Medicago truncatula: one gene and its partner. The protein of the gene in region 2 binds, or shares a complex with, the protein of the main gene of each other region. Links are inferred from orthologs where the notes say so. Each region holds a gene or a part of one and is shown on either strand. Other genes may lie near its edges. The genes, in order: mitochondrial import inner membrane translocase subunit TIM17-2 and mitochondrial import inner membrane translocase subunit TIM50.

Region 1 (6,324 bases), on a different chromosome or scaffold from region 2:
AATCACCACCAATTGAGGTTCATAAACAAACCCTAAAATTTTCAAATTTAAATTTAAATTTCAGAACATAACAAAAATCACTACCTCAAAAGTCAAAAACCATACCCAAATTCACTTGAACTCAATAATCTTTACCTCACTCTCAAAATCCAGTTAAAGGAAACATCAAATTTAAACATATTGTAATTAAACCACCGGTAATCTAATATACTTACACTAATTATAACCACCGGTAGCTATCATGTCACTAGTGCCACAAGAACAAAATATAGTTCTTGACAAAAGACATGGCCGGCCATGAAATTAGTGCTCAAAATAAGGCAGAGGAGCACCAAACCTCTCAAGAACCCTCACCTCACTGATCACCACAAATTCATTCAAGTAACAAATATCCCCCAACCCAACACAACAAAGCCACTGCTAAAAAAAAAAGAACCAAACAGAACCACAGAACCCCTACGGCCCCTCAAAAACCAGTTCACACCTCACTAAGTGAGTAGCCATTTGTGAAGGCAACAAAACACAGTGAAAATCTAGCTGAATAGAAACTCATTAGGGAGATTATAAGCTTAAAAGACAATAACCAAACCCTATTTCACACGTACTCAAAATAAGGCAGAGAAGGCGAATCAACCCTCTCAAAAACCTTCACCTCACTAATCAACACAAATTTGTTGGTAACAAACAATTGAAATTCAAGCAATCACACACCAAACAAAGAACATTCATTTAAACTCAACATAATTAAACAACTAATAATCTACTGTACTTACATTAATCATAACAACATTAAAAAAATATCATTAACATTATAATAAAAGTCTACCGCTAAACTTATTACATATGATTATCAATTTCAAAACAGCCATAAACCAGATAACTCTTATAAATACTTCATTAGTATCATAGCTAATAAGCAACCAACATCAATCAAGGTTCAAACCAAACCCTAATTTTCTCAAATTTAAATTTTCAAAACACAAATTCACTACCTCAAAACTCTAATTCATAATCACTTATACTCAAAATTCGGCACAGGAGGCGCATCAAAACTCTCCAAAACCTTCACCTCACTTCCACCACCACCAATCTTCTCTTCCTCCTTCTGTCCAAAAATTCCACCAAATCCACCAAACCACGGCTTCCCACCTTTGTTTTCCTCCGAATTTGCATTTGAATTCGAATTCTCTGGCGGCATATCCTCGATCATCATCGGCAAAGGCTGTTGAGCACTCAAAAACTTATTCAAAGCAATACCAGCCCCCTCAATCAACGCTAAAAGCACACCACCAAATGCCGCTGATCGCGCAGAAGCAGCTAAACCCTGACGCATAGCAAGAAAACCACCAGTAGCAGCACCAGCAACAATAGAATTCCACGGATCTTCCTTTTGTCTCACGTAAACCATAGTACAATCAAAAGTTGAGAATAAACCACCCCAAACAGCGAAACTACCACCGATTCGAGGTGCGTTGAGACGAACAGCTTGTGTTGCGCCGGTGAAACGTGCTCCTTTGGGGGAATTGTAGAGACCTTTGAGAAAGTGGAAGGCGGAGCCACCGACGGCACCCATACCAAACGCGCCGCCGATGTCGTCGAGGATGCGATCGGGACAAGGCTCGCGTGAGGTTTCAGGTGTTCCCATGTTTTGATTGATTTGATCGAAAAGTGAATTTGGGTATTAGGGTTTTGGTGCGTGAGAGGAGAAAGAGAGAGAACAAAAGAATGAAGTAAAGAGGGTCGAAGTTCTCTTTTTATACGCCGACTAATAATGTTAAAATTATTTTAGATTTTAGATATCAATCTTTTTTATCAAGCAATGGGAAATTTTGTTTTTTTTTTAGAATCAACGGGAAATGTTTTAGATATTTTGTTTTTGCATACCTATTGGAAAAAAAAAAAATATATATATATATATATATGATTATTAATTCTTGGTTTAAATGTGTCCATTGATCCAAGCACTTTTTTTGTTTGGCATTGGTCCCTGCACTTTGTAAAAATATTGGTATTGGTCCCTCTGTTAACTTTCTGTTAAAAAAAAAAAACACAAAATCAACGGAATGCCACCTGGCCCAATCATTTCACGCCACGTGGCACCAATATCAATATTTTTACAAAGTGCACTGACCAATTCCAAACAAAAAAAAGTGTAGGGACCAATGCCAAAATCTGATGAAAGTGTAAGGACTAAAGGCATATTTAAACCTTAATTCTTTCTTTCCATGAGATTCTTGCACGATTTATTTTTTAAAAATGTGTTTTTGTTCGAATTTTATAATCATAAGGTGTTTTGATTTATGGAATCCTAACAATGTAAAAATTGAAGGCAGGCATGCAACATGACTTATGCTTGCCCAAATTTCTATAACAATCGTTTGAAATATATAAACCGAAATTTTTTCACAATGTGTTGAAAGTATGATTTTAAACATAGTTTTTGGGCCCATTTTTATTTTTATGATCGGGAAAACTAGCTTTTAAAAGGCGGGGGAACACTTGGATTATGGAATCTGAAACCTTCGAATATAAAGGTTTGCCAAAAACCTAACAAAATGTCACCACCTTTATCACTAAACACTCCTCACATCTCAAAAAAAAACACACCATTTTGGGCGAAAGTGTGATTTGGAGTAGCAATTTGGTCATCAAGGGGCGTCAACAACATCATTTTCGTTTGAATGCATAGATAATGTTCCTATAAGACCTTCCTCGTTCGATTTCTAGGCGCTTTCCTCTTGATCACGTCAACAATATGGTTTGACTTATATAATCTGAAACACACCATTGCAGACATTGTCCAGTTTGTTACCATGATTTTGCATTGTTTTTAGTAATGGACGCTCTCATTAATATCTCATAGGCTCTTACATTGGCTCCTGACATTGAAACTCCTATTATGTTGCTAATTATTTCACCTGAAAATTTGGATGATACCGTCAATGTCAAAGTCGAGGATCCCCCACCTCTAGTCGATATTCCTTCTGAGGATGCGAAAGTGAAGGGTGCTCCTCCACCTGGTGTGCCTCCAGCTGATACTCATCCAATTGTTGGACCTATTGTTGTTTCTATTGATCATCAGGAAAATTTTACCACTAAAGTAAAGTTTGCTACACATAACGATTTGTTGAGTGGATTCGAAAATAAGTAGGGAGGCTAGGATTTTCAACTGTTATTAAAAAGTCAAATAAGGGTGGAAATGGCATAAATGTATTTGTTACGTTATATGTGAAAAGGGAGGTTCGTATACTGAGTACAAGAAGTTGTGCATGTGTAAGATATATGGGAAATACAACGAAAAACGTAGTTGAATATGCGCACAGTCAGTTGAAAAAGTATTTGACTAGTAGTATGGGATGTTTGTGTATGAATTGGTCATTCGTTCACAACATGTTAGAATCGCAACATACTCAAATACATGTGTTGTTCTATATGAGTATGATCATGCTTAAAACAGTTTCACGGGAAAGTTGTCGTGGTCTAAGTTGATTGGAAACATATCAAAGAATGTTTTGCATTATATATCGCAAACAAATCTGATCGAGCAGTTGAGTGTGGTACAGATAAATCCAAACATGGTTGCTTAGTTTTCATCACATGTGAATTGTCGTGTGCATGCACCACTGCTAAAAATACAAAGAACACCTGTAACGCCCTAGTTGTTTATTTAATTAATTTGAATTATGTGGAGTATATGTATTTTTATATATGATGTTTGGTAATTTATGCGGAGTATATATATATATATATATATATTTATATATATATATGTGATTTTTGGGTGTCTTATGTGGTGTATTATTTTATTATATAGTTTATTTAATAATAATTAATATAAGTATGAAATAATAATTATTTTGGAGTTTGGGGAGTTATTTAATAGTTATTAAAGTTAATGGGGAGTTAAATGAAAATATAGGGAGTTAAGTAATGGGAAGTTAGGAAAAGAAAGAGGAGAAGCAGTTGTACGTAAGAACTGACAAGTTGGGAGAAAAAGGGGAGAAGACCAAGTTAGAGCCAAGAGTGAATTTGCTGCACATTTCTTCTTCAATTTCTAAGGTAAGGGTGAGGTTTACTTCAATAGTGTAGATTTTAAAGTCTGATTTGAGTTTAACAGGTTTTTGGATTGAAATTGAGGAATTGGGTTTTAATTGAATTTATGGTTTTTGGGGTAGATATTGCTATTCTGATGTTAGAATTTGGTTTTGGTTGCATAGAAACATTCATTTCTCATCTGTAAACTGATTTGGGGAGTGATTGGAAGGAAAATGGGATTTTTGGGAAAAACCAGTTTTCTGCCCGTACAGAAGTTCATCGCTCGCCTCGCGAGTAGCTGTGCTCGCCATGGCGAGTGAGCAACTTCATAGCTCGCCTCGCGAGCAGTCCAACTCGCCATGGCGAGTAGCCCATAATAAAACTTGATTTTTGAAAAGTTGTTATAAGATGTTTTGGGGATGGTTTAAGGTACCTAGATGATTTTTATGATGAATGGTGAAAGTTTTAGGTTAAAAAGATGAATAGGGAACTTAGAATTTGGATTTGAGTGAGAAAATGGCATTTTTCCCGAGAGCTCCTGATTTTCACTCGCCTAGAGTTCGCCTTGAACTCGCCACGGCGAGCTACTGTTTTTGTGAACTCGCCATGGCGAGCAGATGTGCTCGCAAGGCGAGTTGCACTGTTTATGAGTGTTGAATTGCTTGCATGATTAGTAGTGGTTGGTGTTGTTGTATTTGAGCATGGTTGTATATAATTATACATTATTTTGGTTGATTGGATTGTTGGATTGATGAATACTGATGATGGTTGAAATGTATGTTATTTATTGAATCATACATATTATTATAGTAGAGTCACATGGAGTTGCATTGCATGGTCAGTTGTATGTAGATATACACAAGTAGGTCCATTACATATGCATAAAACAGCGGTGAGGGCTTCGGTCCTGGAGTACTAGTTGCTCAACAGCGGTGAGGGCTTCGGTCCTGATGAATGCTTTAACCATTCAAAAGCGGTGAGGGCTTCGGTCCTATTTGGTACCACATGCATATTGCATTTCATTAAGAAGTCTAAGATGGTGTCTTAGCAGTGGTCATGTCATTTGCATGAGTCTTGGTTGTTGATGTCGGTTATTTTCTGATGGATGATGTTGGTGTTGAATATGCATTTATATATATATATTCATTGTGATCATGGGTATTGTTGATGTTGTTGTTACTTGTGACTTATACATATATTTGTTTACAAGATAAAGTGTTGTTGGTTAGGGTGTTAGATTCAATTGATGATTTTAATATATATATTTATTGTTGTGAATCTCACCCCTTCTGCTTGAAAATGTTGCCCTTCCTATGGGTAACTTGCAGGTGATCCTGAGTAGTAGGTGGTGGCTCAAAGTCGTGTTTAGGGCTCTGATACGTGGGATGGGATTTATCATTTTTATTATTGTTGCTTTTCCTTTCCATGTATCAAATTTTGGAACTTATGGTGTGGAGCCTTTTGTTGTCTTTGAACTATGATGTTGAATTATGTTAAGGCCTTTAATGCCTTAGACTATTGTTGGATGTTCATGTGGTTATGGATTATGAAAACTATTCCGCTGCTATGTTTTCATAAATAATAAGTTGCTTGATTAAATAGTTTTATTTTCTATTTAAGAAATTTTGAAATGACGTGTAGCATGCCCGTTGTGGAACTACTCTGATGTATATTTGCTATTTAATTGCTTTTGGGTAACGGGGTGTTACAATTTGGTATCAGAGCCGGTTGGTCCGTCCGGCCAACTAGTAGAGTCGTGTTGAGCCACCTAGGATAGAGTGTCAACTTTAATATTGTTTTTTTTGTTGTTGTTCTGAGTTGTTGTTTGTCGTGTAGAATCTCGAGATGACTGGAAGTAGTGATGCTGCCCTTGTTGCTGCGCTTGAGGCTGTAGCTCAAGTTGTTCAACAGCAACCTAAGGTTGAGACTGGTAGTGATGGAACCAGGATGCTAGAGACTTTCTTGAGGAATCATCCACCAACATTCAAGGGTAGGTATGCTCCTGATGGTGCTCAGAAGTGGCTGAAGGAGATTGAAAGAATATTCCGAGTCATGCAGTGTTCTGAGACACAGAAGGTGCGGTTTGGGACGCACATGTTAGCTGAGGAGGCCGATGATTGGTGGATTAGTTTGTTGCCTGTTCTGGAGCAGGATGATGCTGTGGTAACCTGGGCCATGTTCAGGAAGGAGTTGCTGGGCAGGTATTTTCCAGAGGATGTCAGGGGTAAGAAAGAGATTGAATTTCTGGAGTTGAAACAGGGTGACATGTCTGTCACAGAGTATGCTGCA
Region 2 (7,810 bases):
GCATTAGAATTAAATTGGAAAAGATATATCCTAAGAATTATGCCACGTTTGATTTTTGGATTTGTTTCAAAACAAATAAATAAATATTTTAGAAGTATACAACATCATTTTGTCTGTACCAGTCCTCCTTAACAATACAACTAAACCAATGCCCACTTGACTTCTTTGCTAGTTACTACGCCCTGATCAAATGCTACAAAGGAGGCCGTATAATAGATATTTCTATGATTGTACAGAGTACAGTTCTTTTGGTACATATTAAAATTACCAGTGTTGTCAATCGCGGATAACGGAAATTTGGGGATTGATAAAATTAGCATCACTGTTTGTCAACATTTTACATTAAATAGCTATGAATGAACAACAGAAGTATGTCTAATTTCCGCTACAACATCGCTCATAACATCAACGCAGCTGCTATTTAACAACACTGAAAATTACCGTTAACTATCATATCATAAAAGCTTTTTTGTAATGCGCATATGCAAGCAGCAATTTATCCATGGGACCCCTACTACATATTGTTATGATTAATTGATAAATTAATCTATATAAATTATGATTATCCATAGCCAAGATAACTTCACAAAATCACAAAAGAGATGTAGTGGTTAACTCATCCATTCGATTCATGTTTGTACTTGCAGGAAGTATGATCATTCCTACCCTTGGCAGTGTTGTTCCAGTCAAGGGCGGTATATTTTGGGTGTTTGTAAAAGTGATCCTTCTTTCTGAGACCAAGCCCCCCCTTTCATGCAAAGCAGGAACTGCCCCTTCCTCAAACCACCTAGTGGGAGGTTCTTTTCCCTAACTCCCTTCTCACCTCCTCTCGGGATAACTGCTTGGGCCCTCTCACTTTAACTTTCCCACCTCTATCCATTCGGACTCGCCCACACACCAGGCACATGCTTTCTCCAAGTCGCCCAAGGACTTCCCTTATTTAGGTCAAGGGTATGGAACTAAATGGCATATGATGGTCCAATGTTCATGTAACAGCAACACTCCCGAAGTCCAAGGGAAGAGACACTCACATGAAGAACCTCAAAATTAATTATATATTTAAAGGATCCGAACAATACTGATATAAGATAAGTGACGTACAGAGTAAAGCTAGGGGAACCCACCTGTCACTGCAGTTGAGTATACCATCCCTTGAAATTTCTGCAAGCATAATAAAATCGAAAAATATCAACCTACTAATGTTAAGGCCTATTAACATATTAAACTGACTAAAGGAACAATGATAATTTACTACATTCTAACCATGCAAAGCTCCAAAACTAAGCAATAGTGCTGTCCACAAAGGGATTACCAATAAACAAAAAAGTAAAAATTTGCAACTCATTTAAGTTCATGTTGCATAAGAGGCATTTCAAATAACAAGAGAACAACATTCAAAGAGTACGTTGTTCCCTGTTTTTTTGGCCTTCTGTTTCCTGTTTTTAGTCAGTTGTTCCCTTATGTTGGTGATGTGGTTTGTGGCCGATTTCTTTTGCACTTCAGTTTAGTTTCACGCCTTGCTCGTCTTATACTTGGTTTGTGATTTGCAGAAAATTTAGCAGATTCAAAAACACATTCGAAGAGTCATTTCATCAAACAAAAATTTGTTAATGTTGAGAGTCTAAACACAACAATTCATGCTAGAAAAATGTCAACCTACTAATGTTGAGGCCTATTAACATATTAAAATGACTAAAGGAACAAAGAAAATCTATCACATTCAAACAATGCAGAGTTCTAAAACTAAGCAATAGTAAGGTCAACAAAGTGTGTTTCCAAGAAACAACACAGTAAAATTTTCAATCTGACACTGATATCACTAAAATTTACTTATGCAAGCAATTGAAAGCCGCCATATCAAAGTGTTGCATCCAAAGATACCACACCACCAATAAATTGACAAAATGTGGGAAAAATGTCAAATCCACACACAAATTTTGCAACTCATTCCAGTTCATATTCTAAGAGCCACTTCATCAAACAAATAAATAATCATTAAATTTATAGAGTCTAAACCTCTGTAGCCCTGACACTTCTAATTGAAGGCGTGTTCGATGTCCAACACGTGTCACTGTCCAATACCGACATGACACCCACATATGTGATTACAGTGAATTATGTCATTTACTATCAGTGTTGATGTGTCAGTGTCAGTGCCGTGTTCGATGTTCATGTTTGTGCTTCATAGGTCTAAACACAACAATTCACACTAGAAAAATAACTTCAAATGTAAAATTAGTAGCAGCACTCAAATTGAGAGCAGTAACTTGAAACAATTATAATCCATTCATTCAAACCATGCTGAGTTTTGTCATAATTCAAACAAGTATATCTATCACAATCCCTGGTAGTAATGTAAGAAAATGACATAATTGAATGTAATTACTAGTCACACGTGTGATGTCTTCGAACAGAAATGTCGGTACTTTTAGATATTTGAAAAACCATTTCATCAAACAAAAATTCGTCAATTATTTAGAAATTGAACATTAAACAAAACAATTAATGGTAGAAAAACTAATTTCAAATGTTAAATTAGCAAAGAAGATTAAATGCGAAGAAAGATTCAGAAACAGTTACTTACATCGAGAGAAGTAGCTCCATCAGGTGGAGAGTACTTAGTCGAATCACGAAACAACTTCGTTTTCTCATCAATTTCGTCCGTACTATAAGCTGCACATTACATTCAATAAACAAGAAAGAAAAATAAAATCAATCAATCATCATTTCGTTTTCCAGATCAATACGATTAAAGAAAGATTCAAAATGATTAACTACAGTGGAAACGGAAATGAAGAGGAAAAAGAAAAATACGAACCGTAAGAGGCGTAACCGGCAACGGCGGTGGTTCCGGTTAAGGCACCGATGGCGGCGTATTTGAGGAAGTTCCAGCGGTTAGGGGAAGCGGTGGAAGAAAAAGGAGGAGGTGGAGGAGGAGTGGCGGAAGAAGGTGGAGGAGTGGCGGAAGAAGGAGGAGGTGGAGAAGGAGTGGCGGAAGGAGGAGGATGAGGAGTAGCAGGAGCGGCGGTGGATGAGAAACGTGAAGAAGGTTGAGGAGTGACTTTGGAAAAGCGGAATGGCTTCGAAGACGATGATGCTGCGACGGAGAAGAATCGAGATCGGAGAATTTGGAGAGACATTGTTGTTATGGTGAATGAAATGAAATGAAAGAGGTTCAGGTAGGGTTTTGGCTTGGCTTGGTGGAGACGCCGGATCAACTCTGTTAAGCTTTCTGTTATTCTTTTTTAACTATTTGGACTTTGACGCCGTCAGTCTAGCTAACGTTGTTTCTAGAGCCCTGCTAAAAAGTTTTTTGGTGGATTATTTATTTCTTCTCCCACAAGAAAAAGATTTTTTTTAAGTAATCTAATAATATTAGGAATTCACCTGAATATTAATTAAAAAAATGTTGCTTGAGGACGAAAAAGATGTTTTTTTTTTTTTTTTTGTAAGAAAACAATTTTAAAAATCTATGAACTCACTTGATAGGGATGTTGCATATTATATATAGAGGTTGGGGTTCGAATCTCGGACACTCTATTTCTCCACAATTAAATTGTGTGAGCTATAACTACTAGGATACTCGACAAAAAAATTCTAAAATATATTAATTAAAAAAAGATGATAGTGTTTTTTACTATATAAATAAAGAAAATTATAATGGAATCTAGCTAAGAAATTATAATGAAAATTACAGTGCAAACTCATATTACATGGATGGAATCTGAAGGAAAAAAATTGCAAAAGGGAAAACAGAGAATGACATATATTGCATGTGGTAAAACACTATTAACCCTACATTGTATTGTCTAAAAGAAAAATTTGATTTTTTTTAAACGATGAGATTTTATTAAGCGTTTTGTCAAAGTCAAATTGAGGTATTTTACAATACCACTTAAAAGTTAAGTATTTGAAATTCTTTCTTTACAGTATAGAATATTTTGAAAGAAAAAAATTTGGAAAATGAGAGATTTCATCAAATATTGTCAAAATTAAATTGAGATATTTCAAATACCACCTTAAAGTTAAGAATTTTAAATTATTTCGCTACTATATTGGTCATATATATTTCAAAAATTTAACATTTGTCATTTTATTTTTATTTTTTTAAATTTATCATGTATGTTTCAAATTTTGCTTATTGGCCCCCTGTTAATTTTTAAATTTAGTAAGTTGGTCCTTTTAATTATAAAAAATTACAAACTAATCCATGTAATAATCATATAATTACTCCTATAAGGATTCAAACATGAGATCTCAAAATCAAGGTTTGCTCTCATAGCCTGCTCAACAACACCAATATTTTGTTGTAGTTCAGCTTTTTATCAACTAATTTTTAATAATTCTATGTTTGGAGCTTTGGAGGCCAAATAGCCTTTAGAAAAACGTGTGTTTTTTTTAGAGACTTAAAACAAATATTTGGATCGCCTTGCGTTTGGATCAACTATATTTCTACGTTCTTAATTAGGAGCCTTCCGATCTTTCCCCTTTGACTTGTTAATATTGGTTATAGCCTCGTACCTTATCTTGTAATACAATTACTAATCTTCCATCAAGTTCTTCATATGGGAATATTATATGACACTTATCTTGAATATATTTCAATCCTAAATGAGAACTTCCGTTAGCAATTAGCATCCAATTCATTAAAATATGTTGGTGATTTGAGGTGATTCTAAGATTGACGATCAAAGTTGATGAAGCGCAATGAAGAATGTTCATTGGTTCCTCTGACTGAGTCTTGCGCGCACATGCAAATAACACTTTAACGATCAAGTTTGTCTATGATTGGGTGAGTGATTGGTTTTGATTAAAAGTAAAAATACCTTTTTCCAAGTATATCTTTATATATGACGAGTTTCAGGAATACGAGGTGAAAATTCGTTGAGTTAATTGAACGAAATCTACATGATTCTTAGACTTTTGTCTAATCACAATCATATAGTGACAATATGATTGACATGTTCACTAGGATACATCGTCAATACCACCCCATAATATGTGAATTTTGCTCTTCACCCTACACATTTTGCTCGCGTTCTGCAGCCATGTCAAAAATGTCATTGCGCTAGTTAACTTGCGCAAGTGTTAATCAATGCACAACTTAACCAACGTTGCGTGAGTTAACTAGCGCAACGTTAGTTAAGTCACGCTACGTGTTGTCTTAAACAAGGCGGAACACCTCATAAAAGGAATGAACAAAATTGAGGCATATAACAATATCTCATTTTATTAATAGAATTCATACAATACAATAATTGATACAATAATTTATTCCAATTCACTAATTTATTCTACTTATTTTCTCCCTTTTGGGGTAAAAAGTAATCAATCTTCTTAGGGTAAAATAGCGAGCAGCCTTCTTGGGGAAAATACATCACCAACCTCTGGGCTGAATTTAAATCTAGTTTTTTTTTATGCCCCAACAAGAATCCTTTTACCCACGGTAAAAAGTTTATGGAGTAAAAAAAACAGATTTAAACTTATCCCAATGGTTGATCACTTCCCCAAGTTGGCTACTCACTATTTTACTCCGAAGAAGAGAAATAGAGGGAGAGAGTGAGGAGGGGGAGAAAGTGAGATGGTGTGAGGAAATAGGGAAGTATGGAGGGGTATTTATAGGTGAGAATGGTAGTGTAGGTTATAACCACCATAAATGTGGTCAAAAAAACGTGTAAAGTTTGTAGAAAATGTGTGGATTGAAGGTTGAAAACCTGACCACCGTCCAAAAAACGTTTGTTCTTCAGTTCTGACCACCAGCCAACGTGCATGAGTTAACTCGCGCATAGGTCAATGGTGCGTGACTCAAGTCACGCAGAGGTTATAAAATGCGCAAGTTAAGTCACGTAGGGCGCGAGCAAAATGTGCTGGGTGAAGAGCAACATTCATAATATGTACCTCCATGATCCAATCTATTAGCGGAATGGGCCTCAGCCTAGTCCGAACAATAGGTAATTATCATTCTCATACCCTTCTCTTTTTTAGTAACTATGCCATCAATTATGAGTAATTTTTTGGGTGATCCATTATTATTATCCACCAAGATCATTATGCATGGAGGCTTTATCAATTTTTAATAATGTGGGCGTGTGTGGGTTTGAAGGCGGTTCCTTGACCCCCTTTGCTCTTCTGTACCGCATCACCCGGGGGTTTTGGCCCCAAACCATGAATGGTATGAATGCAACTTGACAATCAAACCTCAATTTGTTCTGTTCAGTATGAAGATAACAGCTGCAAATTTCTATGATCAATAATACTGATCCGACTGACAACTGGCTACTACTTACTTTTCAAGTACCTATTATCGTTCATGACAAAATGCATTCCTGAATATCAGGTAAGTCTTGGCATAGTCACAGTGCCTAACATACCATCTGCTTCATATTAATTTTCCAACTATAGACTTTTCTGAAAAAGACCAAGGGTATATTCAAACAATATACTAGTAACAAATACATAGTAGCCTATAAAAATACATATAACAAATACAGTTTTTTTTCTCAGGCATATATATAACAAATACAGTTATCCGTCAAATTTATTTATGATATTATTTTTAAAACATTTCAACAAATATTTATGCTTCTTAATTAGTTGACTAGTTCTATCGTTGACTTTGTATTTATGATAATAGTGGATATAATTGTTTAATAAAATCAATTTGATAAAATTATTGATTTTTCTTCAATTTATAACTTATTTTAGTGTGTGTGAAATAACTTAGCTAGTATAACACTCCTAATAATGGAAAACATAATTTTCTTTTCTCTTCTTGATTCGAACCATATTCATCACATGGTGAAGTCTAACCTTTTCCACTGAACACAATAAGCACATAGTATTATCAATTGAAATGTCTTTAAATTATTTTCAGAAACCAACAAAAATAATAATAGAATCACCCTCTCCAGTACACACCAGTCACCACTATATATAATGAGGCCTTCCTGGCTTTAATTCACCAAACCATCATATCTCACTACTTACAATCTACCAAACCTCATTTCATTCTCTTTCTTTAGAGTGAACACTATGGACAATATGTGTCAACTAAATTTCCAAAATATATCAACACTGACTCAAGGGATGAAAACTCATTCCCATCTTATGAAATTTACACAAATATTCATTTCACTATCTGTGTTTTGCTTCATCTTTTCACCTTCTTCCTTGTTTGTTTTCCTTCATTACTTTAAATTATATTTCTCTACTCTCCCTTTTCAACTCTACACTCACAACATAGACAAGAATAGCATGTTCCTCCTTTGTAATGGTCTCCTTGTTTTTGTTGGTTTAACTAAATCTTTTTCTGCCTCTTCTAGTGATGATGATAAACCTTCCAACAACTCCAAAGATTTTTCATCATCACAGTATATCCAAGAAGAAGAAGAAGAAGAAGAACAAGTAGAAGAAGATGGTTCACAATATCATGTTCTTGACGTAGAGGCCAATGAGCCAATATTGGAGCGAGAAGCTGAGAAGATAACTAGTAAGCCTAATGAACAAAATGCCGAAGCAGAGGAAGAAATAGAAATTAAAGCATGTTCTACAGAAGTCGAAGAAAATATTGAAAATATAATTTTCATAGACGAAGAACAAGGAGAAGAAGTTGAACTATTTGATGCACATGATGATGAGGGAGATAAATTGTCGGAAATTGATTACATTCTAATTGAAGAAAACAACATAGAAGAAGAGGAGCATGAAGAAGAAGATGAAGAATATTATGTAGAAGAAGAAAGTTGTGTGCTAAGTACAGAAGAGTTAAACAAAAAATTTGAAGATTTCATTAGAAAGATGAAAGAAGATC

The links.
Region 1: mitochondrial import inner membrane translocase subunit TIM50 (region 2) and mitochondrial import inner membrane translocase subunit TIM17-2 share a complex: the UniProt entries of both Arabidopsis thaliana proteins name them as parts of the TIM17:23 complex. The link is inferred for Medicago truncatula from reciprocal best matches to the Arabidopsis thaliana genes TIM50 and TIM17-2.

The regions. Positions count from the first base shown.
Region 1 is NC_053047.1:41,354,090-41,360,413, reverse strand, and holds mitochondrial import inner membrane translocase subunit TIM17-2, read right to left. Parts: upstream 1,778-6,324; 5' UTR 1,646-1,777; coding exon 1,013-1,645; 3' UTR 706-1,012; downstream 1-705. UniProt on the Arabidopsis thaliana protein: Essential component of the TIM17:23 complex, a complex that mediates the translocation of transit peptide-containing proteins across the mitochondrial inner membrane. Links the inner and outer membranes.
Region 2 is NC_053046.1:42,945,416-42,953,225, forward strand, and holds the start of mitochondrial import inner membrane translocase subunit TIM50, read right to left. Parts: upstream 3,256-7,810; 5' UTR 3,141-3,255; coding exon 2,819-3,140; intron 2,674-2,818; coding exon 2,585-2,673; intron 1,162-2,584; coding exon 1,125-1,161; intron 1-1,124. UniProt on the Arabidopsis thaliana protein: Essential component of the TIM17:23 complex, a complex that mediates the translocation of transit peptide-containing proteins across the mitochondrial inner membrane.